Drosophila melanogaster: one gene and its partners. The protein of the gene in region 2 interacts with the protein of the main gene of each other region in a pairwise test. Each region holds a gene or a part of one and is shown on either strand. Other genes may lie near its edges. The genes, in order: Sema2b, CG7546, CG9853 and CG8620.

Region 1 (7,580 bases), on a different chromosome or scaffold from region 2:
TGAAAATAATAAAAGTCCCGAATGAAAGAACACGGGCGAAAAAGGATGAAACGGGAAACGGTGCGGCTATGAATGAAAATCGGAAAATGCTAAGCAAACAGACACACACACACACAAGCACAGAAAAAAAGGCATAACTCCAAGTGGATTTGTCTGTGTGTGTGTGTGCGTGTGAACAGGTTGTGCACTGAAATAAAAACGCAACAATGCGCAATCATCATTATCGTTAAAAGAGGCGCTTACAGAACTAGACAAATTGCCACTTTAGAGAGCTGGACCCGGCCAAAAGCCAAAAGGCTCAAAGTGGCAACACCAACAGTAACAGCAACATCAGCAACACTTGCAGATGCCCCAACAGCAACATCAAGAGCAACAAGAGCGGAAGTTGGCGGCCACAACGTGCCGAGCGGACCAAGGAAGCGTCTATAATGACCTCTGGGCAAATGGGCCAACACGCACACTCACACTCGCACTCGCACACTCACACACACACACACTGGCACCGACCCCGCATAAAACCAAAATGGCGCACATTAGAGACCCTCGGCGCACAAAAGTATGCTACGCTTGGCCATTTCAGGCTATGTTGGCTAACCAAAAACGACCAAAGAGCAAAAGAGCAACAAGCCAGCTCGCAAAAACAGCCAGCAAATAGCAAATAGAAACACGAAACAAAAAACAAAAAAATACACTCATAATCAACTGCCGGCGAGTGAACAATGAATAGAATCAAACAAACCCAAATAGCAGCCGAGTTCAGCAGCACCATCCACATCAACGGCAGCAAGTTCAAGGTTCAGCGTCTCATTGCTGGCTTTTGTTTAGTCGTCGGCATAGCTTAGGCCAGCACTTTTTTTTACCATTTCGCCTTTTTGGCCTTAATTATAGACACGCACACGAGCACACTCAGTCGCAAACATGAAGCGAACAATTATGCTGCCTTCTGCACAGCAGCAACAGTCGGGCGCAGCAGAAACATGAGCCTCCAATTCGTTGTAATGCACAGAAAGAAAAAAATCTTTAATTTCAATTGATAAATATGAAATAATGCACTTTCTGTAGGATGCGTAAATACCTATAATTGATTACTTAAAATGTCAGGGCTTTACAAAGTCTCAGTCTGTGGCAAAACTCTTTAGATTCGAAAATCACAAGTATCTATGTATCTTTTAAGTTTATGGTATTTAAGCAATATCAGTAATTTTAGGGCATTGAAGACGGTTGATTATTGTTTTTTCAGTATTTAAAGAAATGTGCCTAAAAACAGTCTTGAAATAGAAATCAGTAAGACATTTAACTATTTTATATGTTTCAATCTATCAGAAATCATGATAAGATGTTAGTTTAAGAACGTGAAAGAATTATAAATAACTTCTATGCATATTTCTGATTATTCTGCCAATTTATATCGCATAAATACCCATTTTCTTTACATGAAAACATTTTTCCATACTGTATGAGAGCCTGGCAATTTGCAGGCATCTAAATGATTTCCAAGAGCTTTCATTAATAGGAGGGTCAGATGCCTACCCCTTCGGCCATTTTCACCCTTCTTAAGGGCTCTGATTGCTGCTGCTGCTGCTGCTGTTCATGCAATGGCGACGGCAATTATTGTTACAATTAAAAAACCATTAGGCGTAATTTGGTTGCTTTGTGTGGCTCCTTTTTCTCGGCCACGTTTTTTTTACGGAGTATGAGTATTTGTTTGATTGGGCCACACGACACTTCCGTTGGACAGGCGGCTGAGCACGGAAAACGCAATGAAAACATTAATTTGCCGCCTAAGAATCAATAAGAATAAAAGTGCGCAAGTAAAGTCGGAAATAACTAATCCCCTGGCTTTGGTATTTGCCCCCGATTTCAAATATTCATGGTAATAACGCAGAAATTGCTTAATTCCATTTAATAAGCTGAAAATGTCTCTCTCTATGCGGCAATTGAGTGTGTGTACACACGGGTGTGTGTAATTTACTGACTTTTCCTCGGAGAATGTAACCAACTTTGAAGTTAACTATTTATGAAATTGAACTTTGGCTGCCATTAGCGCATAATTTCCTCATTGCCTGGCCCAAAATGGGAAGTTCGAAGCGATTTCTGAAAACGGTTTTCCTCTTCTATTTTCCTTTTTCGATTTTCTCGTCGCTCTTGTTTTATTTATACGTTTATTTTTCGATTGTAACACACATGCAACATGCCACACGAGGCAAAATGGCCACAAAGTGATGGGCCTAGTCTGCCATTGATTGGCAGCTGTCTCACATGACCCCCAATCCCCTAATCCAGAAGACCATGCCCCCCTTTTGTGCCACCAGCTGAGTGTCAAAGGCGCTTAAATGCTTTGAGCCTGCCGCCTGCCCCGCTCACTTCTTTGGCCAACGAGCCACTTTCTTCTTTTTGGCCAGGTTCTTTGGCCACTTTTTTCGGCTCTGGCCAATCTTCTCAGGTTCCATTGTACGCCGCGAAACGAGCTGAAACGCTTTTTTTGCCCCCTGCATTTAATACCCTAACTGACTGCGGCAGAAATTCCATCGCGTTTTTCATCCCTTTGTGAAATAATTAATGCCCCTGTTTTAAGCGAGGAATTAAAAAAATTTGGATCGTATCACACTCTTTAAAAAAGCGCCACTTTATATGCAATTACAAAATAAATAAAAAAAAGAGTGCTGAATGTTTAATTGAGACACTAAAATATTATGAAAATAAGTCTGTAAGTTTTTTAATGACCCCGTGCCGAATACTTAGTAAATTGTCTGTATATAAATACAACTTTACCTATCATATTAAAATATATTAAATATATAAAAACATAAAGAACAACAGTGACAACCAAATAGAATGAAATATACTTTTGAAAAGCTGAACATAACGATTTTTTTGTAGTATTTCCAGATATTTTGGTTTTAAAAAGTTAGAGCATCCAACTGGCGACTTGGCTGCACTTTTTCTTGACCCTATGCTGCAGTTCTGCGCTCATAATCACCAAAAAACAGACGGAGGGTCGGAGTGCTTTTGAAGTTCTTTCTGTTCGCATTGTTGCATGGCTCTTGGGCAACCGAAGGGGGGTATGCAGAGGCGTGGCAAACGGGGCATGGTGGGTCACGGAGGGGGCGGAGGGGCAAGGGCATGCGAAACAACCTCGACATGCGATGCAATCGCCAGCACTTTTTTCAACCAGCTTTTGTGTCTTGGTGGCGTTTTTTCTCAATTTTTTCTTTTTTTTTTGTTAGCCGCGAGTCGCAAATCGCAAATCGCTTGCTGCAAGTTGCGACCAGGTGGCTACTGTTACGGCCAAGATATTGCACACTTTGCTCGGAACGAAAAAAAAAGGCGAGAGAATTGCGCTTAGAGCTGTTCTAAGTGGCAATAACAATTTGGCCGTTTGCATTCGCAATTTATGTGCTGAATGGGCCAACTTGGCTGGCTGCACAAATGCAAATGGCAAACTGATGGCCAAAAATAACTCCTTTGTCTTCCTCACGCTGCACTCCGCACTCCGCCATCCGCACTCTTTTCTGCAGTCAGAGGCACGAAAGAGAACGGGTTGCAAACAAGTTGGGATCAACTGGTCAGCGCGGGTAATGCAAAGTGAAACACGCTTGGCAGGTAGCGCTCAGCTCAGGTGGGATTCTGATTGGATTCGGGGATTGGAGAGCGTTGCACAGTCGTTTGGGGATCGAGATTTGTATATTCACCTCACTGCTGCTGAGTTATGTTGCACACTTGTCACTGAAACTGAAACCTGTGTTTTTCATATATATTTCGCATTTATTATTCTTGTTTGTTGCGTGGGCACTGCTAGCGAGTTGCACGAGTTTTCTTTAGCTGGGTTTCGGTTTCTGACTGCGCTTTTCCGATTTCCCACTTTCCCGCTTAACATCCGCACACGATGACCGTTCGAGTCGCGATTTCAAGACAAACTGAACAATCCGTCGTTGTTGCTTCGCCGCCGCCGAAGTTTTCGCACCACACACACTCGTATCTTCGTAACTTCGGCTTTTTGGGGGAATTCGGCTTCGCTCTCATTCGTTTGGCAGTCGCTGAAGTTCGTCGAAAACGAGTTTCGAGCTGGCAATGCCGTGTCAACTGTTACTGGGAACACTTCTCAGCACCTACCGGCATTTTTAACAGTTTGTTTTGCTGTTGAGCCTACAGACTTGCACTGTGGGAACAGTCTAAAAAATGTTAACATTGTCCCTGAAAAATTTTTGGTTTCAAGATGAATTCATTTGTAATAATATATATTTTTATGTACTTTATGTACAAAAATCTAATGAAAATCGTATACAAATTTTCTTTATGTTCTCTTTTTGTGTATTTTATAATGTTAAATTTTAATTTATTTCAAAATAATGTTATCTGATGTTTTAGACTTTATTTAATTTACTATTGTTTCTATGTTTGTAAAGTGTTAAGAACTTCTTTATCTACCCTAATACTTCAAGTATTGATTTAAATCAAATTTTAGGAATTGGAACTAAAACATTGAATTTAAAAGTTTAATTTTTTCTTAGCAGTTTTTATTTGAAATATATATATATTACGAACGTTGTGCTTAAAACGCATTTCATGTACACGGACAATTTCGAGTCAAAATCCAAATTGCAAATCCACAAGGAAAAATGACAACTGCCGCACAATCTCAATTAGCCCAGGTTAGTAATTGATGTGGTCAGCTGCAAGAGTCCTTTCTCCAACACCTTCTTTGGCGATTATAGAACTTTCACTTAATTGCCATAAATTGGAAGTGCCAATACGTGTTGCATTAAACTTTCAGATCCATTCGTTGAGCGGCCAATCAAGTGATTGACCACAGATTGTGCGGAGGTGGCGGCGACGAAGGGGATAGTAAAATCATTTGGAATTAGGGCATGTGGAATAATTTATGCTCGAATTAATAATGGCACGTAGCCAATCATTTGAATGCGATTTAATTAATTTCCCATGCCGACATTCACCTGAAACTGGTCTCCGTTCCGTATCGTTCCGTCGTAATGACAGGGACAGGCCAGGCCAGGCCAGGACTTAAGCCACTCGTTGGCCGAGATGGATATGCACTACTTACGCCCGCTTGTATATCAATAAAATCAAATAAATATATCGTTTGAGTCCAGGGCCATCCACCTGAGATCCGCACGCATATAAATAACCAATGATGCGGCATTTATCTGCCCGCCACTCCCACTCCTGCTTCAACTCCTCGTATTCCACTGCTGGCCATCAGTCTCGGCTTACGTTCCATTTAAAATGGTTTTCGGTCCGTCGTGGGGGCCATTGAAACTAAAGACGAAGAAATTGTTCTTTCAGTGCACAGGAAAAAATCCGAGGCACTGCAAAACATAACAAAATATATCTATACCTTGTAAGCAAGTTCTTTTGAAACAACAAATATCCTACAATAACTTACTTTGATTTTGTAATTCAACTTTCCTTTACGGTCTAATAAGAATAAGGATTTGTATTTATTTTTCTCAGTGTTTCGCCGCCATTGTTCTGCGGGAGCTGGCAGGACTCCTCCAGAGCCGAACTTGGGGCTAAAAGGGATAAACGTTTTTAGCATGGCCTGCACGATTTTTATGCAAGGAACGTGTTGTTGCTGCCCCAGCCCCTTTTGGCTCAGAGGCTCTTGGCCATGTCCGTGCGACTGTTTCGCGTCATTTGCTCTCTGCTGGATCGTAATTTTATGGCTGCCAGCAGCTTCTTGGGTCTCCAATTGCCAGGGTGGCCAAGTGATGGCATAGCAGGCAGTCAAAGCAAACGGAAGTAAACTGAAGCCAAAAATTCTCGTTTTTATTTGACGAAGCGTTCAGTTCACAGAGCATTCCTCCAGAAGTTGTCAAAACAAAGCGAGCGAAACTAACAATAAGTGAGTGGAGAGGCAGACAACTACGGCTGGCAAAGATGGAGTCGGTTTGGGCCAAGGTGGGTTTTGGGCTAACAATGGCCCAACTGCATCACCTGGCATCGGACCAAACGGCAGGCGGAGCAGGCGAGAATATCGCTTACCAACTCGTTTGGCAATTTTTCTCAATTTTCACATTGAAAACTAAGCGCCGGAGGAACGATAGAGCCGCCCCTCAATAGTATCATCCATCCCTAGCCAAACCCTTTTAAACACATACAACACACACTTTTCGACTTCATATTTGGGCTTCCAATTTGAGTGGGGCCACGGGGAGAGGGGAAGGGGGCCTCCGGTGGGAGGTGTCAGCGGCACAAAGCCAACTGGATTTCCGCAGGCCAACTCGGATTCGCTGGGCACTGGAAAAATAAGTATTAGTGTTGTTTGCGAAAAAAAAGAGTGTTGAGTAGTTCATTATTACTGAAATATATCATATTGATATCCGAGTTCCTAGGTGCGAAGTAATTTTTGTACATTTTGCCTTGAATTCCTTGTGATTTCTTCGAGTGCATTTACAGTATCCACCTCCATCTTGATTCCGCTGGCCATGTTGCTGCTCCACGATTGCTCTTTGGTGATTTGGATTCCCTGCCAACGCACACACGCACATGCACACACACACGCGGCCAAACAAAGCACAAATTGTTGTATGTAATTGTGCGTTGGCACACACACTCATGCTCATTCGCATTAACACAACAACAAGTGGAGCAGCCACACGAGCTCACCTGCCGCTGCGTGCGCCGAATTCCCATGCATACTTGGCGGCGCCTGCTCTGGCATTCCTTCCCCTACCACGCCCACCGCTGCAGGGTTACCTTTCGCCCAGAAAACTACGACCCTGTGCAAATAAAAAGTGATATACGCGCGACACTGAATGAATATTAATCGCTTTCTTTTTGCAGCTCCCATTCCGTTTGGGGGCACTTTTCTCTACAGGCTCCCTGGCCTTTTGTTTGGACCATCTGGCCGGCTGATTTGGCAGCTTAAATGATTTCCGCTTCGACTCCACTGCGTGCGGAATTCACGGGAATTTATTAGTTAAGTCTAGCTGATTGTTCCTGGTCCGCCGTTTGGAATAACTCGGGCTCCCTTGATTTTCCGTCTGGGTTTCATTTCCTTCTTTTTCTTTTTGTGGGAAAATTCATATTGTTTTTTGCGCGTGGGCGTGGTCGCACTTCTGCAAAACACCAAGTGAATATATATAACAAGAGAGAACGCTGTGGTCGAATTCTCCTGGACAGTTCGACTGGAATATTGAAATTGATCAAGAAGATACATACTTTACATGGCCGGAAACTCATCCTTCTACCTGGTAAATACTTTTCATCGAATCTAGTAACTAATGAATACTCAAGCATTGCTCAGCATCATTGCCTCTAATAGTTATTAACAACATTTTCTCTACTACTTTTATTTAAAATATTAATTTTGTAAATTAGTTTTTTTTTTTGAGTGCACAATCCCCTTGAGCCCCAACTTGTCATAAGGGTTAACACCCTACCTTTTTTTTGGCCTCTCCTTGTATGTACTTAGCACCTTTGAAGGGCTTCACTGTGCAGCCGAAAAAAAAAACCATCACAAATTTCGGGCGATTCAATTTGGGCTCCCGGTGGATTCAAAGTTTGTTTGCTGTTTTTTATTTTAATGAATTTTTCGCATTAAATTTCGCAACAATGAA
Region 2 (10,204 bases):
AATCATCGGGATCATCGGGGGGCGGCCACTGGCTGAGTGACTTCTGATGCCCAGCCAACACATCCATCTCCATTTTCCATGCAGACTGCAAGCTCCCGAGGAACCTTGGCACGATTATGTTATGTTTAGGGCCGTCGGAGAGATTAACTTAATTACATACAGCCGGGCTCACTCATTTAGAGGGATTTAAAAAATTAAATCTTATGACCGGCTTTTATTCGATCAATCCAATAATGTTTCAATTAATAATATTCCTCTCGTAATTGAACTACTTCCTGTTTTAGATCTGTTAATAAATGGGATAAACTCTTCTTTTATGAACATATTTTCCGAATTCCACAGTTTTTCCTATCAAATAATGTCCATATCTCTGGAAGGTTTTTTTAAATAAACTGTTTATAGTTTTCAAATTGTCATGATTCTTATGAATATATCTAACATAAATTTATTAGAACGCACGCAGAATAATTTTCTAAGAATTGCAGATAGTTATTTAAATTATGATCTAAACTGGCAGCTTGGAATAAACTAAAATGTTAAACTCTTTAGCACAGCAACTGCCGAGCTTAGCAGATGCCAATTGTGGTGTTACAGTGCTGAACCGCACTGTAATCAATAACTGTAGGTACGAAAATATACCTCGATTACGTAGCCAATCTATTTTTGGCGCCCAATCATCTCGAGTAAATATTTAAAGAAAAGCGGCAAATATTTATAATTATTATTTATTCATATGTTTTCTTTTCTTTACGGCTTCTTGGTATTTCTTTTTGTTTTTATTTTATTTTTTTTGCACATAAATATTCTCAACATTTTTATGTGACACATTTTCGTGTTTCGATTGCAGGCGACAACAATAACAAGAGTAGCGTAGGCTTCGGACTTCGATGACGATGAAATGGGATGGTGCGGGTTGCTGGTACGATGGGATGGTGTGGATATGCCTCCGGTAATGCTTCTGCTGAAGGCTTATCCACTTGAATAGATCTGCACATTCCGGATTGGTCGTCATCGGCCGTCCAGCAATCATGTGCCATCGGCTCACGTCAATGGCGATTTGGCGCCGGCCAAAATACTTGGCTGGAATTCGGAATTTGGCTGTCGTCACGGGTCTACGGGTCTGTTCTGATTTTGCAGCACGTCATCCGACGCGGGGACGCCACCGCCATTTGGGACAATTGAAAGCATTCCGCTCGGTGTGTGGTCTAATATCCAAGTCCATTTAATCCAATTCCAATCGCCATTGTTTCGGTTAATATGTGTGTTTATTTTGCTCATTCATGCACCGCAAAAATTGTTTTTGATTGGGCTCTGTTGCGTCTTGACCCATTGTGTGTGTGTATCTCTGTGTGTGTGTGGATAAATATCAGTTGGATATTATTATTCTAAATAGTTTGAAGCATTTGCTAAGGGTCCACTCCGTGTGTTGGTGTTGTCGCAATCTTCGTCGTCTTCTCGATTTAAACAGAACTTAACCATTAACTAAATTAAATACAATTTATTAAAGTAAAATGTACAAGAAGCATTAGGTGGCCAGGCTTCCGTCTCCGTATCTGCCCCCTACTTTTGCTCGGTGAACTTGGCAATCTGCGGATACTTGCTGGTCTTAAAATCCACATCCCGCTCGGTACGCTCTTTTAAACTATTGCGCACCGCATCCGTGTAGGCGGCCTGAATGGTGGAGTCGTGAGCAATGGATCCGATTACGGTATCCATACTGATCGACGCGTTTAAGGCGCTACCACCATTGCTTCCACCCAAGCCGACGCTCTGGATAGCCCTCTGCACTCCATTAGCAATGAGACACTCCACGCTGGCAGTCGGCTTTTCCGACTGAATTATCTTGCGGCGCTTGGCGGACATGCCCGAGATGTAGGCATCCGAGAAGGGCGGCTGGGGACGATTACTCTGCTGCAGGATACATAGATTGAGACATAGTTTAGTGTAATTCCAGAAAGTTGTACGGAATAACCTACCTCTGCCTGGGTCTGTAGGTCGCGCGTTATCACAGGCAACCAATCATTGGGGAAACTCATGTGCCAAGGCTCTGAGCCCACAATCACAGCTGGTAGCTCGTCTGCCGGTGAACTGTTGCTGCCGCTGGCGGTCACTTCGGACATCTCAACATCCGTGTCCAGAGTTTGCTCTTGCAGCTGCTGCTGTTGTGGGTTGAAAGCAAAAGGAGGCGGCGCCACAAATGGCTATTAGTGCATAAGTTTCTGGGCATGGAAAATAGTTTGGAAACCTACCTCGTCGGCAGCTGTTGGAGGAGCTGCTTGAATGCTGCGCAAGACCAGGAACTGTTGGGCATCCACTGTGTCAGTTTGGGCGGGAATCGTGGGGTCTATGTAGATGCACAAAAACTGCAGGGCTTCGTTGCGGAAGTCTGCAAAAGAAATATTGAGTTAACCAGTATACTTACGATCACTTTTGGTGTCAACTTACTGGATCGCATCGGTGCGCAAAGGAGGCGCATTAGCTGGCGCCAATAGAGCTCCGCATTCGCGCTTCCAAGGCACAGGAAGAGAACGCTGTATAGCCGCTTGCGGAATTGGTCACAAATCTGTTTGAGACTTTGCTCGAATTGAGCACTATCTACACCGGCCGGAGCTCCATTACAAAGCTCGATGATCAAACGGAGGCTGACACGCAGGATGTTGCACACAGAGTCGCGCGAGTTGTACTCCGGACGCTCGTACTGCGGCAGGTAGACCAGGCTCTCCCCGAACCAGTCTAGTGCGCGACCAATGGCCCCCGGAATAGTCTGCTCGTTGATGGGTACTCCGACAAACAGGCTGTCGTTGAGGAAGGTGCGCAGTTGCGAACGCAGGTTGTTCGAGTCTCCGCGAGGAGTGGGTGTGGATGTCGGCAAAACAGTTTGTAGCGGAGCAGCTGGCGTGGTTGAAGCAATTGGGGCAGCTTCTCCTGATGGTGAGGCGGCCGTATCTCCGACGGCGGCAACTGCACTGCCTACCGAAGCTGTTGGCGCATTATTTCTCATATTATTAATCAAAAAATTAGCGAGTTGGGTGGGTAAATGTCTGGACAGGCGACTGGTGGCGGCCTGTAGTCGCCCCCTTCGGCCAGAGGGCAAGCCTCCGTTGGTGCTGCCACCGCCAACGTGGGCCGTTCGAGTCGCCAGCCGATCACGATTGATGGTCGATCCTCCAACGGGCCGCACTCTCCCGGCTCCGACTCCGGCCCCATTGGTACTGCCAGCACCAACGTGGGCACTTGGTATATGAGTTGTTTGGGTCTGCGCCTGCGCCCAGGCTGCCGGTCCCAGGTTGCTTAGTTGCTCGCTGGCTGGTCGCTGGCGACGCGACGACCACATTGGGCGGATTGTGTTACTGCCGCGTTGGATGCGACCAGTGGTGACTAAATGATGATATGGATAAAATGGAAATTAATGTCAGAGATGGAGGCCAGTCGGAGGTCGAGATAGCAAATAAATAGTTCTTTAGTATAGTTAACTATTAAATTTTGTAAAAATTTTAAAATCGTATAGCATTTAAAGATTTATCGCGCCCTGATCCGACAGGTTTTTGATACACTTGGCTTTCCATCTCCGGTTGGTGAGTGTGCAAATGAAATGGATTGGTGGATTGGCGAAATGGATCGTGGACATAAGGTAGTGTTTGCTAGATTTCCCCGGATGGGAGCCGTACTCACCAGGACGAGTTACTGCAGCAGATGTGGGCGGAACAACGGTGGCTCCTCCTGCTGGTGCTGTCGAGGTGCTGCGACTGGTACTGTTGTTTTGGAGCAGCTGCTCTGGTTCCCGAATGTGATGACTATTGCAAGGCAGAAAGCGGTCGAATGCCGTGTGTGTCGGAGCAATGCGTCCGCCCCAGTTGTTGTTTCCGCCAATCTGAATCTGTGGTCTTGATGTCGAGCGCGTTTGGGTGGCCGTGGTGGGCAAGGTATTGGCCCTCTGATCGCCACTGCGTGTTCCACTTGATGTTGAAGCTGCATTTGGAGACTCTCCATTGCCCGACGCAGGCGCACTTTCAGGGGAGGAGGATTCGGACGCAGACTGATCTGCTGTTTCGTTCGATCCAGCTGCCGGAGCCTGTCGCACGGTCGTCATCACATGCACGGGCAAGTTAATCGACATGACGTTGGGGGCATTGAATTCCACATGGATATCGTTCGGTCGTTGACCATTGACCATTGCCTGAATAATTCGGGCCATTTCCAATTGGGGATCTGTAAAGCAGCAGTAACAGCTCTTTGAAGCGTTCAGTATAGCAAGGGTTAATTTGTTTAGGGCCGGGTCAGTAAAAGAATCAAACTAGCAAAGTGAAAGTGAAACCAAAGTAGGGATGCAGTGAGTGAGCAGCTAAGATTATGGTTAGTCTGCCATGACTGAGGCGTTGGATTCAACCGAACAATCAAAACATACTGGGCGGTGGCAAAGTCACTGGCACATAGACACGCAGCCTAGGCACTGGTCGGGTTTCTCGTTCGGGAGTTTCACTTTGAGCTTGATCGTGGTCGTGATCTAGAATATTTTCAACAAATAATACGGGAATATTTACGATTCAGAGACACGAATTCCTTGTCTAAGGCCATGAGTGAATTTGATTTTGCACAGCCTCATCTGCATACAGTGTTTGTATAAAGTTTCTTACCCATTTCGAGACGCTGTTGCTCTTGTGCTAGTGTTTCAGCACCTGCAGCATTTGGCCCCACCATAGGCTCGTCGATGGGATCCTCTACTTGATCACTGGATAAATCGCGAGCGGCGGCGGCAGCCGCATTCGCAGCTCCAGCAGCCGCACTGGCAGCTCCGGCAGCCATTTCCGCAGCGGCTCCAGCAGCTCGACTGGCGATCTCCGCCATGGCCGCTGCACTGCGACTGGCATCGGTGGCCGCCTGCAAATTGGCAGCCTGCGAAGGTGCCACAGCAGTTGGAGTGCCCGCGCTGGTGGGCGTTTGAGTGCCCGCTGTGGTGGCCGTTTGAGTGCCAGCTGCAGAGGCAGAACCAGGTGCTCTATTGCGGAAAGGCTCGTTGATAATACCCGAGGGCGGTGCCAAAAAGTTGGGCGTGAAGATGTTATTGGAGCGTATGTAACCGCTCTGCTCAACGAGAATGGGTCGGCAGGTGAGCACACGTGGCCCTGGCTGCGACAGGTCAAGCATTAAATCGGATATAGCGTGCTGGGCGTGCGAAAGGTAGTGGAAAGCCTCCGAGACGCGATCGAAGATGCGCTGTGCGTTCTCGCGACCATCGGTGTCCTAAAAAAGGAATTTAATGTTTTAATAGGCTTATAAGAGCTCGGCTTATTAACTTACACTCTCCTCAAAAGTGGGATCATTCTGGAGAATCTCATAGTACCGATCAACAAAAGGCGCCAAGCGAGCCTGTACGCCACGATAGTGCTGAATAACTTGGGCCAACACCTGAGGACGAGTGCGTCGCCTGGGTCCTGAGTTGTTGCCGCCTTCGGCAGCCGCGTCATTTGCTGATCCAACCGAGGATGTGGGAGTCTCTGCTGCAGTGACTTGCTGGCCACCAACTGCTCCTTCCGCCTCCGGCTCTGGTGTTGGCGTGACCGAACGATCTGATGCTCCATCGGCCACTTCGTCGTCCGTTTCGATAACATCCTCGATAATCACAGTAGCAGCTGTGGTTTCACCACTAGCATTACTTGCAGCTCCACTGGCTGCTCCCTCACTTGTTATAGCTTCGGCTGTTCTCTGCTGGCTCGTCTCGCCATTCTCATTGGTATAAACCGTGGGCAGCTGAACCACCGTATAGTTGCGTGCTCCTGTATGCGAAAGAGCAGCGGTCACGGCATCTTGGACCATATCGATGATGTTATTGTTGCGTGGCAGATCAGTCGAGGAGACACCTACTTCCACGACTGTGGACTCCATCGACCAGCGACCGCGCTGCAGAATGTCCAGTGATTGATTGTTCAGGCCAACGGCAGGATTTTCCAGATAAGCTGCTATATTGTCAGCGCAATCGATCATGTGCAGGGCGACCGTGATGCGGTTAATGCAGAAGGACGACGAGTTGGGATAACGATTCGGTGGAGGACGTGTCTGCTAAGATACGTTTAAATACGCGTGTTGAAAGAGCTTTCATCTTAATGGCTTACCCCAGCTACTGGACCATTGTTCACCGGTATGGCCATGGTGCCCACCAGCATTCCATCGAGGGCGCGGAAGTACGGAGAAGTACGCATTCCGGGCGGCGGCGGACGTGCCACATTGCGGAAGGTTCGCATGGGTTCATCATTGTTGCGGGCATTGGCTCCGCGCTGCGAGAATGGTGGTCGTTCGGCCACATGGAGCACCTTGCCATCCACATCTGCATGGGCATTGATATTGTTGTATTAGATATAAGTGCATATATATATGTGGGTGCTCCCGGGGGCATGACTCACCATATTCCTTCACCTGCTTATCATCGACCAGAACGCGACCCTGGTAGATGATACGCTGGTTTTCCGCCGCAATGTTAGTCTTCTCGGCTATTTGGTCCTTGAACTGGCGGATGGTGAGCTGGAAATGGGTGGGGTGCATGGATATAAAGAAGCCCCTAGACCTGGACACACAACCTCAAACATTACCTCATTGTCGATGCTGAATTCGTGGATGCGCGCATCTAAGGTCTTCACCTTAAGGTTTATGAGCATTTTCCGGCCGGACTGCGTCGCAAATCAATTGAAAATCTCGTTTTTCTTTCGGTTTTCCCCGTGCCGTGCAAAAAAACAGTCGAAAAGGGTTCGTTGGTGGAGGGGGGAAGGCGGGGAATCTTGTCGGTGTCGCTGTCACCTGCTCTCTCGCTCGCACTCGCTGTCGTTGGCCTTTGGCTTTTCCGGACACGTTTTCGCACTGCTCAACTAGCGGTAAATATGTATACGTTTTCACTGATCTCCGCCTGCTTTCGGATCGGGCAAATATATGCTGGGCTTCTATGCTAACGCGCCGAGCGACTTTGCAATTCAACAACAGCAGTGGACGAGAATAATTACTGGAATTTGACAGTGTGGCAGTGTTGCCAACTCTCGGAGTGAAAGAGCAGCCAAATGCCATCTTGTAAAAAGCTAAACTAGCAGGTATTGATAAATAAATTCCGTTTTAAAGCAAAAATTAAGCGATCTGTCAAAAATGATATGTATTGTATGGAGCAGTTGAAAATTATTTTATTGAGTTTGGTAACGATTACAAAAATTGGAATATGCAGATAAATAACCTTTTTTCTGAAGCTTAAAATATATTATAACAAAAATATATTATAACAACTTGTCTTAAGATTAAAATATAATATATTATATTAATTTGTCTGAAGTTTAAAATATAATAGCTGCATATGTCTACAAAATAGATAAGTTGCCAGCTCAGCATATAGTACACAAAATGTCCTAAAATACCCAAATTATTATTTCAGTGGCAAACACAAAGAAGAATACAGCACTGTTAGCATTGACTCAAACCAGAGTGCACGAATTTTTTTCTTGTCTGGCAGCCCTAAAAACCACTTAGGCGGTTCTTTTGAATTTGTACTAAATATATTAATCTGTTTTATTTATATTGTTTTTGAACATTCTTTGCTATCCTAACCTAACCGAAAGGTATAATATCTCCAGGGAATTGCCTAGACTCTTGCCCACAATGTAAAGCGTGTGGGGCATGAGCGAGATGAGCGCTATAAAAACGTTTAAAGAACTGCACATGTGAAATACAATTCACCCATCAACCTTTTCGCCCCTAACCCCACACCAACCCTTAATCACCCCACCGCCTTTGACTGCATCCTGTGGGAATTTTTGGGCACTGCACATGAAAAGCGGCGTTTGAATAATAAAGAAAAGAAAACACGGAAAACAGGGGAAAGTCAGCCAAGACGCAAAGGTGTAGGGCAACTTTTCGCTTTGAATATTTAAGTGGCGCTGTGGCATCGGTAGTGGAAGTAAAATAAGCAGAAGGCTGCGAAGGAAAGCCAACCGCAGCTAACACAATTTTTCGCATACCCCTTGCCGGAATTGTGCGGAAATTTGATTTAATGTCTGCGATTGTGAGCCTTTCCACGGGCTCAAAGTGATTGCGACGAGCCCTTATTTTCCGGACTGAAAAGATGCCACGGAAATGGGCAGTGGCAGATTGCCGAGTGCACCATTCTCTTTGAGGATTTTTTTTTTTTTTAACTGAGTTTTTAGCAAGCAATTGAATGATTAATTACAGTATTTTCAAAAAAATACCTTGCTTAAAGTTTGTAGATTTTTTTTTTAATAATAAAAGATGTTTTTGTAAGCTTGTTGTCAGGATATATGCTATGTTTAAATGTTTGATTCCCAATTAAGCATTTTGAGAAAATTGATGTACAAATTACAAACAGTTAATTGTATTAAAATGCTCAGCCTACATTTCGCTTACAATATGGATTATGCTTGGCGTGAAAGTATAAATAATAATTATTAACGTTTTTCACCGACTTTGCGCGGTCCAAGTGCAAGTTTTACAATTTACAAATTGCTTTTAAATGGGCTGTGAAAAGTTTTAATGAGTTTTCCACGCAGCCGTCCTTCATCTAAGCGCCCAGTACATTCCGCCCACCGCCTTGTCAACGATTTCTGTTTATGCATTTTCATTTTCATTATCATTCCCTTTTTTTCGACCAGCACTGCCCTCTCGTTTTCCGCTTTCCATTTGTTATTAAGCTAACGCTTTCCGTTACTTTTTATTACTTTTTTGCACCAAAAGTTTTTCCTGTCACAGTGGGTGGGCGTGGCACTACATTGAAAGTGTTTTTTTTTTTTTGTTGTTGTGGGCGGGGGCAAAGGTCGCCTTATGAAATTATATCAATCGGGCAGATTGATAAGTCGCTGCTCTTGGCAGCTGGTAAATGACATTTGCTTTTTCCAATTGTTCATATTTTCATTAAGCAACATTTGAATTTTCCCGAATGTAACCTGTAATCGCTTCACTTCAGAATCAGAATTAGAAATGTATTCAAGTACGAGTTTCCGCATTGCATGGCTACATTTCTAATTTCGGTCTGGTCAAGAACAGGGCCCCAGAGCAAGTCTCACGTCAAATTAAATCAAGCTGTAATATAAAGAAAATTGAAGCCAAGTCCCCTTTGTGCCATAAACTACGGATGGCCAAGGAGCATGCGGTGTGGGGGAAAATGAGACTGGCCTTGGTGTGCGAGTGGGTGGGGTGGTTTCCGCAGCTGATTGGCAATATAACACCAAGGAACCTTAGCATTCATGGCGGAATTTAACCCGTGTGCCAGTAGTTCAGATTCAACAGAGTTTTGTGGTTAATATTTTATTTCTCTCGTAATTTATAATATAGAAATTTGTTCAAACAAGTGCTTATCAAAATATGTACCTAAATATCACCAATGTACTGAAGAAATTTATGTTTATTACAAATATACACATTAAATCTTTAAACAAATGAACAACCACTTGTAATTGCCAGTATATAAATTCGACCTGCTAAATGGCAACTGCACTGGCCTCATAAATACAAGCGCCAACTAACCGTGCCAATTTATGGTCAACACTTAATCTAAGCTGTCAATGTGGATGCAACACCAGCGGTAAGAACTACAAAACTTGGCCAACAGAGGAGTGTGTGTAGTGGGTGACTAGTGGCTAGTATCGTAATTGGCGGGGATTACGACAAAACGTAAAAGTGCAGAACGGCATGTGAATGCGGAAGTCGAACTCGCAATTGGCCAAAGTGAAGAAGTCGTAAAGTTTTAGTTGCATTCTGCCGTCTTCGCCTCCGAATTGGACGCTTAATTTATGTTTCAATTCCAATTAGCCAGCGAGGCGCGGGCTTTTATGTTACTATTCCTTCTTTTCGCTTTCGAGTGCACAGAGAAAAATTTCCTTTTTGGTATTAGGTTAAGTGCTAAAATAAATTCGTATCATGAATTAAATACTCTAGTGTTTTAAATGGCTACTTATACATATGGTTTGGTGCTTAATGTAGGTTTTTCTTTATTGAGCAGTATAATGGCGTACTTTTTATTGCTCCCACTTTCAAGCAGCAGACTTATTGAAATTTTTTTTTTTAATTTCAAAAAAATCTACGTACTATTTCATTCATCCAAAATAGGTTAGAGGGAAGATCATTTCCCACCGTGCTCCCTGGTAATTGACTTTCGGCCTGGCCCTGACGCGTCATTTGTAATTGTATATCAGCACGAGGAGCGACGAGAATGGCGGCGTTT
Region 3 (8,570 bases), on a different chromosome or scaffold from region 2:
CGAAACGACCTTTGCGCCGCGGAGTGCGTTTCTGAGCAGTCTCCTAAAAATGCAGAGTTAAAAGTTACTCAATAGTGCCGACAGTGTGGTGGATTCGACTTACGCCCTGCGGCTGTTCGTTGTCAGTCTGCGAAGTGGTGCGACCTGGGTTTCCTCGTTGGATGCGCCGGCGCACAGGCCCACGGCGGCGTCTGTTGTTTTGATGTTGCTCCACATCGGTGTCTTCCTCCTTGAGGGATATGGATTTTCCCGCCTTCTCCTCCCTTTCCTTAAGCTGCTGCAGCACGGGCAATATTTTTAGACGGCGCTCGGACAGCAGCTCCCAGTAAACGCCATTGGGGAAAGACAAGCGCTTTGGCACCCTGATTATTTCTGTGGGTGTTGCAATGATATCAACTGGCGTATCGTACTTCTGGAATAGATTCGGGGGCAGTGAGTCCACCACCTGCATGTCGTGCACGATTGTGACAATAATTGTCTTCGGTGTAATGGCTCCCAGTTCAATAAGGAGGCCGATGTCCAGATCAGCGAAACCATTTCCGCGTCCAATGCGGTAACCCTCGCGTGACACTACAACAGAGCCAATAACCACGATGTCCAGCTTCAGACCGCTGTCCAATCCAATTTCCGAGCGAAACTTTTGAATATCTTGAACGCGCAGAGCCTCCTTTTTCTGCTCCTCGGTGGCATCGGCCAGCACATCTACCTTTAGGCACAGTGCAGAAGATTCGCGGGTGCTGGGCAAGTATACGGACTTGTCGGCCAGCAATGCCAGTTCCTTAAACTCATGCAAGACGCGATCGATGTTCACCTTGATGTGCTCTGCAATACGGGAAAGAGTGATAATTGGTGCACTGAAAACGGGGCTGTGGTACTCCCTTACGTGCTTTCTTGAACTCCTCTTCATTGGCAAACAAGGCAGCAGCCTTATCGGCACCCACGAACGAAGGAATTCGGTTAAATATGTTGTTGAATCCAATGCCAACCTTGCCCTCTTGGATCTTTTTCCAGGTCTGCACGCGCAGCGAGCGCTTTGTGGGCTCTATGGGCTGAGCTGTAACGACATGTTTGTTACAATAATATGCTCCAATAACATAAACAGATGACTAAAAGAAACATATTTTAGTTTATTGCAGCGGTGAGCTCATTTGTATTTGTGTTAGTGATAGCTAGCCTTCATTAAATCAAGCCACATTCCATTCCAGAGCTGATCTGTAGGTATGATAACGTGCGGACCCAAGCGATTCCCCAACTTCTCGGACATGTTAGTTTTTGTTAGGGGAGGTTGACTGTAAAAGTGCGAATCAAATGTGCTGAATAGCAACACAGCCGCTGCCCTTATCGTCTGTAATGAACGCGTGTTATCACGCTAGTTGGCGCTGGACTAAAAGTGATACCGCGGCTGATATACCGGTTTCCACGCCCAGTAATCAGATGTGAAAGTGACCCAAACATACACCAGCAAACGCCGGCCCGTATCATTGAAAACAAAAATCTGCATGCAAAATCGGGACGGCAGGGTTGCCACCTGTGCTGGTTAAAGAACACACGTCAACATGCATGTGTGTGCGCTTGTTGAATTGAAACTGAAGTATGAATTGGCCGCTAAAACTATTTCGGCCGTCTTTCTTGGCGGGTTCAATGAGAAATACAAATTAAGAACCCATATCCCGATATTAACGCATGACCAATAAGTTGGCAACGCTTCGACACGCACACACTCGCACGCACACATTTCTGGGCGATGAGCGCATCGACTCGCGAATTTCTCAATTAATATGTATTCGTATGAGCAGTGCCGCGAGCGTGTAGTGGTGTCGGGCAGCGCGGGGCGCAAGCGAGCGGGTGAATTGACACTGCGAGCACAGAATCTCGAAATCGAAATCGGCCAAGAGCACCGAAAATGATTCATTTCACTTTTTGTAATTGTGGGAAGAATGCGCGCAAAGATGACGTAATTAGTGTCAACAACAAGCAACTTCGGCGTTTCGGCAACTCTTATTTACAGCTAGGGTCTCCTAGAAATAAATATGGCGGAATTCGACAATCTTCCGCTTCTACACTGGCACCTAGAAAATGGCTGAATCGGGCACCTGCCCCTCTGGAACATGGGTATTCACTTTGGATGCCCAGCGAGCAAGGCGCGGCGCGGCGCAAAACATTTATGGAATCACCAGCACTCGCGAGAATTACACGCAATTTTCGTCGGCGAGCGGGCGGGGTAGTAGGGCAGGCCACTTACTTGTCGAAGACACCTCCTGCGCGGTGTTTCCGCCGTTCTCCGCGGCGACAGCGGGGGCTGCGTTGCTTTGGTCCTCCATCGAATCGCTCGCCAATTGTGTTTTAGTTCTGCTCACAATTTTTTACCGGCTCAGGCTACGGCTACACAGTTCACAGTTCACAAGCAACGTCTACCGTTCTCCGCTGGCTTCCAACAAACCACGTTTGAAAATTGACGTTTCTCTGGTGACGTAAAAAAACATCGCCGATGCGATACATCGATACATTTCGTATAGAGTTGCTTGCGATGGTTCTAGCTAAAAATATAATAAAAGTTATACATCTGAGCTTATACACGCCACCGACAATATACATTAGATCTACATGCAAGTCCATCATCTTTTTTCGCTTCAATTGTTATATATTATTTTAATAAACATCGAGTACCACCCAGATAGTTCGGTAAAATTGTAAGCTGTGATCACTGCGAATAAGGTATTAAAAACTAAAAATAGATAAATTTTATATTATTTTCTTTATTTATGTTTCTTGTAGATAAAGGAATCGAAGGATAAACTATAATTAACACAGGCTCCTGCCCCGGCTTAGGATTTTCTAAATGTAACTCTTCTGCAAGGTCCCTAAGGAATGTTTTATATAAAAATATAAAAGAATCTTTAGTGATGCGACTAAGACTATGTAATAAACAAAAAAAACAAGATGGAATGCTATAGTCGAAATCCCCGACTATCAGATACCCGTTACTCAGCTAGTGTGAATGCGAACGCGAAATTTCATTAAAAAAAACAAGAGGGAACGCTATAGTCAAGTTCCCCGACTATCAGATACCCGTTACTCAGCCAGTGGGAATGCGTTTTTAGGGCGTTAGAATGGGTGTGGTAAAAAGTTTCTTGGCAAATCGATAGAAAATTTCAAGACTAATTAAATTATGAAACAATATCAACACATTTTTTAAAAGTGTGGGCGTCACAGTTTTGTGCGGTTTGTGGGCATTAGAATGGGCATGGCAGCATGGGTCAACAAACGTGAGCCGCGTCTCTAAAATCTGTATGCTTAATCCCAACCTCTAGATTTTATAGTTCCTGAGATCACGACGTTTATACGGACAGACGGATAGACTCGGCTATTGATCCGGATTATATATAATATATATCCCTTATATAGTCGGAAACGCTGCTATCTGCCTGTTACATACTTTTCTAGTACGAATCTAGTATACTTTTTTACTCTACGAGTAAGGAATAAGAATAATACACACGACTTTAGAAATTCAATCCTAATACTGTTTATTTTATAACCTACTATTAAACTTTTAAGTATGTACAGTCAATAACAGTAATATTAGTGATAGGTGCCAACCAAGATATCATCGTATGGCCTGTGACATGTGCAATGGGGTCACCATTAGGGTAAGCTCCGCGTCCTTTAAATTTGCCCCACGCAAATTTGCCTCCTGCAAGTCGCTGCCAGAAAGATTGCATTTTTCCAAGTCGGCACCTGCTAACACCGCAGCTCGCAAATTACAGTTCTTCATATTGGCGTTCTTCAAATTTGCCACACGTAAGTTAACACCGGCCATGTTGCTGCTTTCCAAACATGCTCCTTTGAGGTTAACACCCTCTAGATTAGTTCGAACTCCTGTTGGGTCTTCAAAATTACACCCACGCAAGTTTGCACCTTCCTGAAAGATTAGGCAGATTAGTTTTCTTAGCTAATTGGATGGCGTAAATCTGTTACAACTAGTTTCACAAATGATGTGATTATTTAATAGCGTTTTCTGTTAAACCTGTGCTTACCATATTGGCGCAAAGTCCCCGCACTGACACTAGTTGGGCACATTCCAAGTTTGCGTACTGAAGATCCGCCCGTTCAAGACAGCAGTAGTTAAGATTGGTGTGGGACAAATTGCAGTGAGACATGTTGGCATACTGTGAAGGAAAAGGGATAGTCTTTAGTATAATTATTGTCTTCAACTTGATAGATCTCCACCAATAATTTTCCATTTTTTTCCGGACGAAAATATCTCCTTTACTGCGTAGCAAACTACAATAATATTAAAATGCAGTCGTGTTACGGCGTTGGAAAGACTTAAAATGTTGTATTACACAATGTATGCATTGAAATGAAATTCGTTTGCGCACACCTTGAAGTTAATGTTGCGAAAATCTAGCTTTCGTAGATCGGCCCCAGACAGATTAACGCCTTGAAAGCGCAGCTCCGTTATCACGGAGGTCTGAATGATGGCCTTGATGACGTCGTTGCGCGTCAATGGTCTGTCCCCCAGCGGCGTCTCCTGCTGTCCCAGGCGTTCCTCCAAATGGGTGACAAGCGAAAAGATTCCGAAGAACCGCGCCTCCTCCAAAACACCCAACACACTGATGTTCGAATCGCATACGAATTGTCCGTGGCGGAGGTAGTTGATGATCGGCTCGAAATATCGAGGACTTCGATCAATCAGGTATGCTCCCTGCTCGTCACGCTCGCTGGGCTTCATGCTGCCATTTTGCAGGAACATCCTAGCAAGCATTGAATCCGGTTCTCTGCCCACCAGAGTGTCGATGGTAGTGGCGTAGATTTGTCCACCCACGTTCAGTTTGACCCAACGATTGGGAGCGAATCCGCTAGCGGCGACGAAATCGCCGGCTGCCGGTGCGGCGTCGTCTTTTCTGGCTCCGGAACCACTCTCCTTCAGATCACTATTCATTTGATTGGGAAGTTTAAAAAATTTCCACAATGCCTGGCAATTCTCAGCTGCTTTATCTTCCCGTTCTTCCCCCGTCATTCCATTAAAGTCGTCGATTAGGGCTGTTCACACGAGGCCGCAACAGCAGCAGCGTTACATTTAATAGTTGTGTGAATTATGAGATATTGGTGAATTTAGCTAATAATTTAAATTAATAATTTAACGAAGAGAAGAAATAGCTCAAATAAACAATTATCAGAAAACTGGATATGTCTTATCTTATTACTGTCCATTAGCTACAAAACATATTATTATTTGAAATTTAATATTCATATAACGATGATTTAATATTCATATAAGATGGTATAAAATAACAAGCGAATTGAATTATGAAGAACCAATTTTCAGATGTGAAAATAAAAATATTTGTGGACATTGGACATTGCAAGCAGAAAACTATTAAAACCATAAAAGGTGTTTTACGAATGCATTTTAAATTACCAATTGATTGGTTAGAAGTGTAAACCCTCAATTTTTGTTTTGACATTGGGCGCCTGTGCAAAGAGTGTTATAGTTGGCAATCGACACCGATAGTTTGTCATCGGGAAGCTGGTATATGTAAATACAAAATAAATTATAAAAATTGGCTTCCACATAATTGAGAAGGTCGCTGAAAGCGTACGAATAAACCCCGCAAATAACCAAATGTCTGCCGCCGAGACAGGTCCAATAGCCAGCGGCAGTGCGGTGTCCACTGGACAGCGCGGTGTCAGCCGAGTACTTGCCAAGTTGTCCCAGTCTCTGGCAGGAGGAGAATTCTATGAAGCGCACATGATGTATAGGACGCTGTATTTTCGGTAGACTATTTGTATAATCCGTGCAAGGAAATGCAATCCAATAAGAAATTCGATTCCTTAGGTATACGGCGCAGAAACGCTATCAGGACTGCCTGGAACTGCTCTTTGATGGAGCACAGCAGCTTATTGCCAAGGAACAGGAAAGCAGCGCCGCGGACCTATGTCTCCTTCTGGTGGACACGTTAGAGAAGCGAGGACCACAGGCGGAAGATACCGACAACTTCCTGTGGGTTCCACGCCTAGGGGCTTTGATCCGCGGCCTTAACTCCGCGACTGTAGAGCGCGAAACCCTTATTGTGAGTCTTTGACATTATTAAACGCGACTTATACCGGCAATGAAATTTTTTTTCCTTTAGCAACGGACCATTAAGTGGAGCACGGCCTTGCATGGCCAGTATGGCCACCCAGTGCTCCATAAGTTAATTGCGCACGTGTTTTGGACCGAGGGCAACATTGAGTCGGCTCGTCACCACTATCTACTCTGCCAGGATGGCAGCCTATGTGGGCGAGTGCTAATTGAAATCAGCCAGAGCAGGGGCTTCCAGGGCGAGATGGACTTGTTTCTGGTACAAGCTGTGCTGCAGCAGCTATCCCTTAAGGATCGGAAAACTGCAGAGGACACGTTCACTGAGTACACACGCTACCACGCCAAGCTGCTTAAGCATGAGTTCCCCTATAAGGAACCGCTGGTCAACTTCTTGTACTTCCTATTCCGTCTTATTGACGCGAAGCGTGTGGCTGGGTTTCGGGCCTTACGCAAGCTTTACGATCCATCCCTAAAGCGCGACACGTCTTTTCTAAAGTACGTAGCCAAGATTGGGGTGCTGTATTTCGACGAGCATCCGGAGGCTGCTCATTCTGGCCCGCCCGGGTTGGGCGGAATGTTTGGTGACATATTCAATCGCCTTATGGCGGGCTTTGAGGAAGATGATGCGGACGATCATGACACGACCCTGAGGCGGCAAAACGAGAATAACGAACTGGAATAGCATGTATGCATTAATGAAGCATACCGAAGAGGGATCCTTTGTTGCTGGTCTTTTTGGTTGCTCAAAGTCAATGAAGTTCTTTGCCACAAAATCATCGGGCTATTTTGTTATAACTTTAAATTGCTGTATGCTAAATAATTTTAAATAAGCGTATGGTCTTGATTATGCAAATTATAAAAAAATAGTTATTCAAACAAAAATCACTATGACAAGTTCTCAAAAATCTTGTTTTGGGAATATCTTTTGAACTGGTAATTGGATTTTTGTGCTTTTGTAGTGCTTGCCTCCTACGCACAATATCCGGGTGCGCTTCGTCACAACGTGAAAATACATCGCGATACATCCCATAGTCGACATTTCGAGGATGCAATTAAAATGGGAAAAAATTGTAAAGAAAAATTAATTAATTGAAATATTTGAAAAGTTTTATAATTTTATAACATTTGTATTTCCAAAAATAAATAACCAGCATCGAAAGTCGACATTGAATATGCGGGATCAACCCGGCTTGTAACATAAAAGCAGAATCCCTTATTTAGGTGTAGTATAATTTGTTCTCATTTCCCTCCGTTTTTGTGTTATTCTGTATTGGCGGAAGAATTCAGAAAAGTTGTTTTTCCAAATTTAAATTATGTATATTTTAAGTCAGTAGTGGACTAGGTAGTAGAATTCGAATACGTGTGAATATTTCGTAAGTAGGTCAATCGTTTTTAAAAATTATACAATGTATCTAACTTGTCCTTCTGGAATCGACGGCTTAAAAATAATACGACGAAATCCCAAAAAAATATTTATGTTGCGATATAAGTGTGACCAGCACAAGGGTAAGTTAGCGTCGACCTGGAAAATACAATCTGAGATCTGGTCCGTCCGAAAAATCATTGAAAGTGCCCTGGTAGAATAAATCAGATTGGGTTTATTTAGTTAGTTTTATTTTCGTTGAACCACCCAAAATAAGAGTAAAGTTGAGAAACGCTCAGAATTAAAGCCACAACCTTTAACCGAAAAGGCCAATCACCGCACAACAAAGCCGAGTGAGAGCAAAGTAAGCAGGACCTTAAGGTTGGGCCTCTGTGCATCGATAAACATAGGACATTGTGTTATACTTTCAGCGAAATGGCCGACAAAGCTGCAGCGCCCTCTGTGGACTGTGCGGCGCCATCTGTGGACTGTGCGACGCCTGCAATACCAGCCGTGGAGGATCACACCACGCTGACCGTTCCACCTGCTTCAGCGAACAAAGCCACGGACGCTTCCACTTCCACTGCCGTCCAAGTGGCCGTCGATGGGGGGGAGCCGGAACGCTGCTGCTGGATCTGCTTCGCCACCGATGAGGACAACCGTCTGGCGGCGTGGGTGAAGCCCTGTCAGTGCCGCGGCACCACCAAGTGGGTGCACCAGAGCTGCCTCTACCGCTGGATCGATGAAAAAACCCAGAAGGGTAACGCTCTACGCACTGTATCGTGTCCGCAGTGCCAAACGGAGTACATCATAGTGTTCCCGCAGATGGGCAAGCTTGGAGGTGCTTTAGAGGCAATAGATAACCTCATCAAGCGCCTGAGCCCCTTCCTGGCGGCTGGTTTCTTCGTGGGCTCCCTCTACTGGACAGCAGTAACTTACGGAGCAGTCACATTTTTACAGGTACAACCTATCATTTTTAATCAGTTGTCATGCTAAGAGAATTAATTGTCTGTAGATTGTCGGACATGAGCACGGCATGTCCATAATGGAGTCTGGAGATCCGCTCGTTCTCCTTATTGGGTTGCCGGCTATTCCAGTGGGGCTTGTGCTTGGTCGATT
Region 4 (5,860 bases), 350 kb from region 2:
TTCAAGTCGCCAAGTTGTCGCATTATGGAGTAACGGCTAACATGTCCGCTGCTCCATCAACCGGGGCGCTTATGAATATGGTAAACGCCATTTAAGCAGGCCGGAAAAATGGTAGCATATACCAATTATTAATTCAAGGAAATGGGAATCGATTGAGCACATTGATACTATTTACTTGACAAATGTATATACTTTTCTAAGTAAACTTAAAACGCAATTGCTTGCCTAAATCCATGCAAACATTAAGTATTACCAAACTTTTTAAGCAAAAAGTTTGGTTTTTGCTACATTTCCCTTTGTATCTTTAATGCAAAAACGTCATGCTGACCTCCATTTTGCAGCATAACTTTTTGCAGTGTGTCAAGTTGTGACTGTTTGACTGACTGAGTGACGGACTGACATTAAATTGCACTCTTCCTGATTGCTTCGTCGCTTCAAAATCGATTATCGCCGAAGTCATGCAACTGAAATTATATTCACCGCTTGCCACATCCATATATGTATGTACATATGTACATACGTATATACGCTTTTACATACAAAGTTAACGCTGCATAATGAAGCGGACTACGTGGCTAGGATACAAAATCCGGAAGCCCCTCAGTCCGGCGGTCCTGACCTTTTTAATTTCAGCTAAAAACCAAAGCCGCACGACGCCAACACACCTCTGACCCACCACAACCACCCTCTCGCCCACACGACGATGTGGCTTCAACATAAGACGCAGCTCATATTCGATAACCACTTTCTACCCGCCAATGAGTTACAGTGGAGATTGGGTAAGCTTAACTTTTATCCTGATACAAAAAACAAAATATTTGCTTAAATTTGGCTTGTTACATAAGCAAAACTTTCATTTTCTTCGTAAAGAAAATTAATTGTACTTAAATGCTATGGAAAAACTATAAAATTTTACACGTAAGAGCCATTTGCCTTTCCCCCATATCCCACATCCATTATAAAAAAATATAAAAAGGACATTAAGATTTGTTAATCGATTTCAATTTAAAACTGACATTAACAAACAAAAAAACGATGTATCAGTTGGTATTAGTAAACTTTCTAAGACCAAGTGAAGGCAATTTCTAATCAGTTTGTGCTCAAAGCGATATTCTCTGCAATTTAACTTAGAACTCGCAGAATGTTCTACTTAGTGGCGTTCCACTGTAGCTACTCACCCACGGAGCTGGAGTTGAAGGAGGAAAACTGTGCCAGCGGTTGAGGAGGTTGAGGCTGCTGCTGGAGTTTCGTTCGTTGATTCGCTCGTTTGCTGTTTTGTTTGTTTGTTTGTCGGATTGTTGCTGTCTTTGTCGCTCAGTTGTTGTTCCTTTGGTGGGCGACGATGGAAATGTCAGAGGGTCGCGGTATTGGTATTACGGCCTCCCAGGGCATTCTCTTTTCGCTTGAGTTTTGATTTTTTTTTTTGCTTTGCCTGATAATTCTATTATTGCTCTCGCTCTCTTGGGGGGGAGTGCAAAATAATGGATGGCAATTCGCGGACGGAAATTTGCGAATTTAGCGCGTCGCTTCAATTTTGTGCAAATTGAATGCACAAACACTGAGAAGTGGAGAGAAATTACTAACTTCGGCGTTCTCCCTGTCTCCCACACACACACATACACGTGCACGCGCGAAATTTCGTGACAGCTGCAGCTGGAGAAGAAGAAGAGCATGAATGATCGCTCAAGGACTCGGTATCGTCCTGCCGTTTCCTCTCTCTCTTTCTCTCTCTGGTTCACTTCCTTTTGTTGTTCCGTTTACCTAACACAACGGCTTATTTGTATTGTCAGGACCAACTCACACACACGCACATACACGTACACTAGCGCACTGCAGCTGAGCCCAAAGGAAAAATCGATGATGAATCTGCGAATTAAAAGTCTATAGCCGCACATCGATTAATCTGCAGCTGAAGCGAGTCGCTTTAATTTAGTTTTTCAGCCTTGTTTTTGCTGCTTACGAGGAAAAAGACAGCAAGGCTTCGTTGAAAAACCCGTTCGGCGCGCAGGAAAGTCGGAAAAACGAAAATCGTATAGCGGCTTGGTAACAAAACGCGCCCACTCGCGGAAAACAACAAGTTTAAATATTAATTAAATCGATTTATATTTACTAAATCATAATATACATCGCTATTACTTCATGTAGGCGAGCAGAAGCACACTCCACGTCGAATTTATTGTTCGTTTGCTTAAAAAATCAGTTTCAATTGCCGCAACTCCGTTGGCATTAAAGTTATAACGATGTTTCTTTAATAATATTTTTTAATGGTAACCGAAAAAACAGCGCGCGCTGCTGCGCTCTCCCGAAAAATTACAGAGAGAATGCGTTGCGAGCTGCTTATATAGATTTTTAAAATATCAGAGAAACCAAATGATGGTAATGTAAAAATACCAAAGCCGGGAAATCGCGTTTTAACAGTCTGTTAACAGTCTGGCGTATCACACTGTTAATTCTCTTCAGCGGTTAAATGTATCTATTGGATGCGCCAAATATATCTTATCCATATTAACAGCTATTTTGATTAAGAAAACTTAGACTCGTTTAGTTTTATTTAAAATTTTTTAATAGTTTTGAATTATTATACCTTTTGTCGATTTTTAAATATAAGTAAACGTAAGGAATGATTTTAACCGCTTGTGGTTAAGACTGCATATTTTGGCGGGCACAATTCAAAAGCAATCATGAAAATACCACAATAAAAATACTAGTCTCAAGCGGTAATGTCTTATACGTAGTCTTATACCTTAAAATTAAATAGCAGTTCTGTAAAATATTTAACCGTTTAGTATTTCTAAAATAATGTGCTAAACCTGATTTATGCAATTATTAAGATCCCAAAACATTTTCAAAAAATTGTGTAAATTTCTTAATACTTTATATTCTTAAAATTTTCGATGATTTAAAACGATAAAATAATTGTTTTAAAATTACACACTTGGACGAAATTCAAAATTAAAATTATATCAAAATAATGTCATATTTCACAAAATCGTAAAAAATAATAAAAGGTATGCTTATAAAAATACGCAGAATATTTATAATGCATATAATATGCAGAAATACAAAAGTAAGAAGAATTTCGCAAAAATATGAAATATGTTTGAGGTTACGTTCGGCAATGAAATTATGTAACATTAAAAACACGTGATCAATGGAAGTAATTTCCCAAAAACCCATGAATGCGATTTGGTTAAAAATAGCTCAGATGACGTCACATTTATCGTGTGGTTTGTATGAGTATGTGACTGATAAAGAAAGGCAAATGTTTACAGTCCGAAAGTCGCGATTAGCTTGGCGCCAAAGTTGCCTATAAAAGCTCATCGACCGAATGCCGCAGAAGCCAGTCAAATTCAAGTGTTCAAGTGAAGCAGTCGAAACATAAGCAACAGATTCCGCAGCAGTTATATCCAGTTCAGAGAAACAGTAGTTAATCAGTAATTAAAGTGTTGAGTGAATTTCTTATCGGGTCAGTTGTAAACTAGTGCAAAAATGTCGCAATCCGATAACGTGGCACGTGAGCAAACTGCGGCAAATGCAGGGCCGGATGCATGTCAAGGATGCCGCGGCCAATTGCCAAATGCCACGCCCGTGGAAGTCGAGGACATGGCCTTGCCGTCGATGGAGCGTCTCATTCGAAAGGCCAACATGGCCCAGAAAATGCTGAACGATGTGATGAAACAGATCCAGAAGCAGCAGCAGCAGGAATCTCAACTCTCCATCAAGGAGACCAAGTCCAAGCACCGCAGCTCCGATGGAGGTAAACGACGACACAGAGGACGCAAACATCATAGTCATAGTCATCACACTAGCTCATCTTCCAGTTCCAGTTCCGACCACAGTGACTGCGAGCTGATCCTGGCGGAGAAGGAGGGGCACATGCCGCGGAGAAGACACACGCGAGATGACCGCAAGCGGGATCGTTCCCGGTCTCGCGGTCGCTCCCGTGGTCACTCGCGTGGTCGTTCTCATGGGCGTTCTCGTTCCAGGTCCTACACCGATTCCCGACGATCTCGAGCACTACCCCTGGCTCTGCCCGTTCGGATTTCAGTGTGAGTATCTGGCTTCATTCAGTATTATTCAATATTCATTTTATATATTAAGTGCGCATAAAAAAACCAAAAAAAAAAAAATAATAAAATATATAAAATATGAAAAAAATATTCAAATGAATTCTTTTTAATGGAGGGTGGGCTTATCTTTATTTTGGGTGCAAATAATACATACTGTTCAGGTATTCAAGATAATAAGTTACATTCGTTGATGAAATGCTGATTTAATTTAGCATTCATATTTACCAAAGTTGTGAAATATTTGAACCATTTTTCTGAGAAAATAAAGTTCAAAGTTTTGGAACTGTAAAAAGAAGTTTTTATCTTACCTCCATCAGCCGATTAACAAATAAACAATCGTTTGTTATTTTTAAATATTTCTTATATTTTTTAAATGCCGTTTGTTTTTACATTAATAGTTTTTATTTTGTAGTTGTTGTGCTAATTATATGTTAAACATAAAAATTGTTTCTCCCTCTCGTATAATTACTCGGTTTGTTCTCGTTTTGATTGTGATCTATTAAGTTAATTTCATCTTTTGATTTGTAGACTTTGCTGTGAGTTTGCTCCTTGCAGTCGCAACTTTTCTGTTGTTCTTAATAAATTCGTAAAATTCGATGTTAAATGTAATAAACCATTTCATTGCTTCGTACAAATAAATGCATATAAAAACCGACTAAAATCGCGTTAATCGCTATATAAACAAAGAGTGCTGCTGGCTCGTAAATTTTCGATTTTGTTTTTTGCTTTTATTTCAAATGAGACACTAAAGAATTATGCTGTCTGGCTCGGGTTGGAATAAATTTTACCCAAGTGAACACCTTAATCTGCGACTTTATTTTGTGATTTCTGTGGCTCTAATTGGTATGTTCATATTTAGTGGCTGCTATTTACTCGCTTTTCATGGCTTGCATTATTTATTGTATATCCGTAATTTAAGAGAGCTTTGTCTAAAAACAAATTTTGGCACATGGTTTCCGAAATGGGTTCAATTCGTCCCTCTGATCCTCCTTCTAATCCTCATCGATTTTATTTGACTGTTTAATTGGTTTCCTTATGCTTTTTTAGGCTAGTTAAAATACAGCTATGTACTCGTATTACTTTTGGATTATTCGATACGAACTAAGAGTTATATTAATTTGTAGTTTGTTTGTCTGCTCCTAACTTGGCTTTCGTTCCATTCGCGTCTGCTTGATTGAGTTTTTATGATAATTCGAAATTTAATTACGACTGGTATTTGATTCTCCTACAGGCTCATTCAATTTACTTTCATTAATTCGTTTTTAAAAACATTTATCTACAACTCGACGAATGACAGTTTATTGTAATGGAAACACTAATGTATGCGATATCATGTCAGATTATCTATGAATACTGCTTTCTTGAATTCAAATTCAGCTGGCGACATATTCGAGTTTGTGTACATCGGCTATATCGAATACATTTAGTTAACATTTTCATTGTGGCTTTACTTGTCTTTTGTTTTTTTTTTTTTTTCTATGTGAGTCATGCAACATTGTCAGTCCTTTGAGGGTTTTACTTTTTTGATTATTTACAGCATTTGCTCAATACTCTACATGTACGTGGATTCGCTAACAACTAAATGAGTATTCTTCGATTGTATATCTCGGTATATATCCTATATACATAGATGAGCACACGACTGCCTCATAACGTAGACACGCACACGGGGACATACATCAATATACATTCATATAAATTTGTACACAGCATATATGTATATCTGAGTTTTCGGCTTAGTTGAAAATTTCAAGATTAAATTCCTCGTTTCATCGCCCTGGTGTACCCAC

Evidence for each region.
Region 1: the proteins of CG7546 (region 2) and Sema2b interact in a two-hybrid assay, tested with the Drosophila melanogaster proteins (one large-scale study listed by BioGRID).
Region 3: the proteins of CG7546 (region 2) and CG9853 interact in a two-hybrid assay, tested with the Drosophila melanogaster proteins (one large-scale study listed by BioGRID).
Region 4: the proteins of CG7546 (region 2) and CG8620 interact in a two-hybrid assay, tested with the Drosophila melanogaster proteins (one large-scale study listed by BioGRID).

What each region holds. Positions count from the first base shown.
Region 1 is NT_033778.4:16,382,863-16,390,442, reverse strand, and holds the start of Sema2b (semaphorin 2b), read right to left. Parts: upstream 3,920-7,580; 5' UTR 3,693-3,919; intron 1-3,692.
Region 2 is NT_037436.4:7,507,823-7,518,026, reverse strand, and holds CG7546 (uncharacterized protein), read right to left. Parts: upstream 7,042-10,204; 5' UTR 6,651-7,041; coding exon 6,585-6,650; exon of another isoform or gene 6,517-6,584; coding exon 6,399-6,516; exon of another isoform or gene 6,323-6,398; coding exon 6,111-6,322; exon of another isoform or gene 6,058-6,110; coding exon of another isoform or gene 6,055-6,057; coding exon 5,299-6,054; exon of another isoform or gene 5,242-5,298; coding exon 4,635-5,241; intron 4,505-4,634; coding exon 4,406-4,504; intron 4,210-4,405; coding exon 3,673-4,209; intron 3,379-3,672; coding exon 2,446-3,378; intron 2,387-2,445; coding exon 2,250-2,386; intron 2,202-2,249; coding exon 1,977-2,201; intron 1,912-1,976; coding exon 1,561-1,911; 3' UTR 711-1,560; downstream 1-710.
Region 3 is NT_033777.3:4,396,953-4,405,522, reverse strand, and holds CG9853 (uncharacterized protein), read left to right. Parts: upstream 1-3,495; 5' UTR 3,496-3,607; coding exon of another isoform or gene 3,608-3,922; intron 3,923-4,037; coding exon of another isoform or gene 4,038-4,169; intron 4,170-4,384; coding exon of another isoform or gene 4,385-4,945; exon of another isoform or gene 4,946-5,013; intron 5,014-5,332; 5' UTR 5,333-5,629; coding exon 5,630-5,781; intron 5,782-5,842; coding exon 5,843-6,077; intron 6,078-6,137; coding exon 6,138-6,770; 3' UTR 6,771-6,965; downstream 6,966-8,570. Other genes in the region: lost, read right to left, coding at 1-43, 104-822, 884-1,054, 2,243-2,321; CG14647 (uncharacterized protein), read right to left, coding at 3,608-3,922, 4,038-4,169, 4,385-4,945; CG9855 (uncharacterized protein), read left to right, coding at 7,887-8,411, 8,467-8,570.
Region 4 is NT_037436.4:7,154,758-7,160,617, forward strand, and holds CG8620 (uncharacterized protein), read left to right. Parts: upstream 1-3,342; 5' UTR 3,343-3,489; coding exon 3,490-4,053; 3' UTR 4,054-4,117; downstream 4,118-5,860.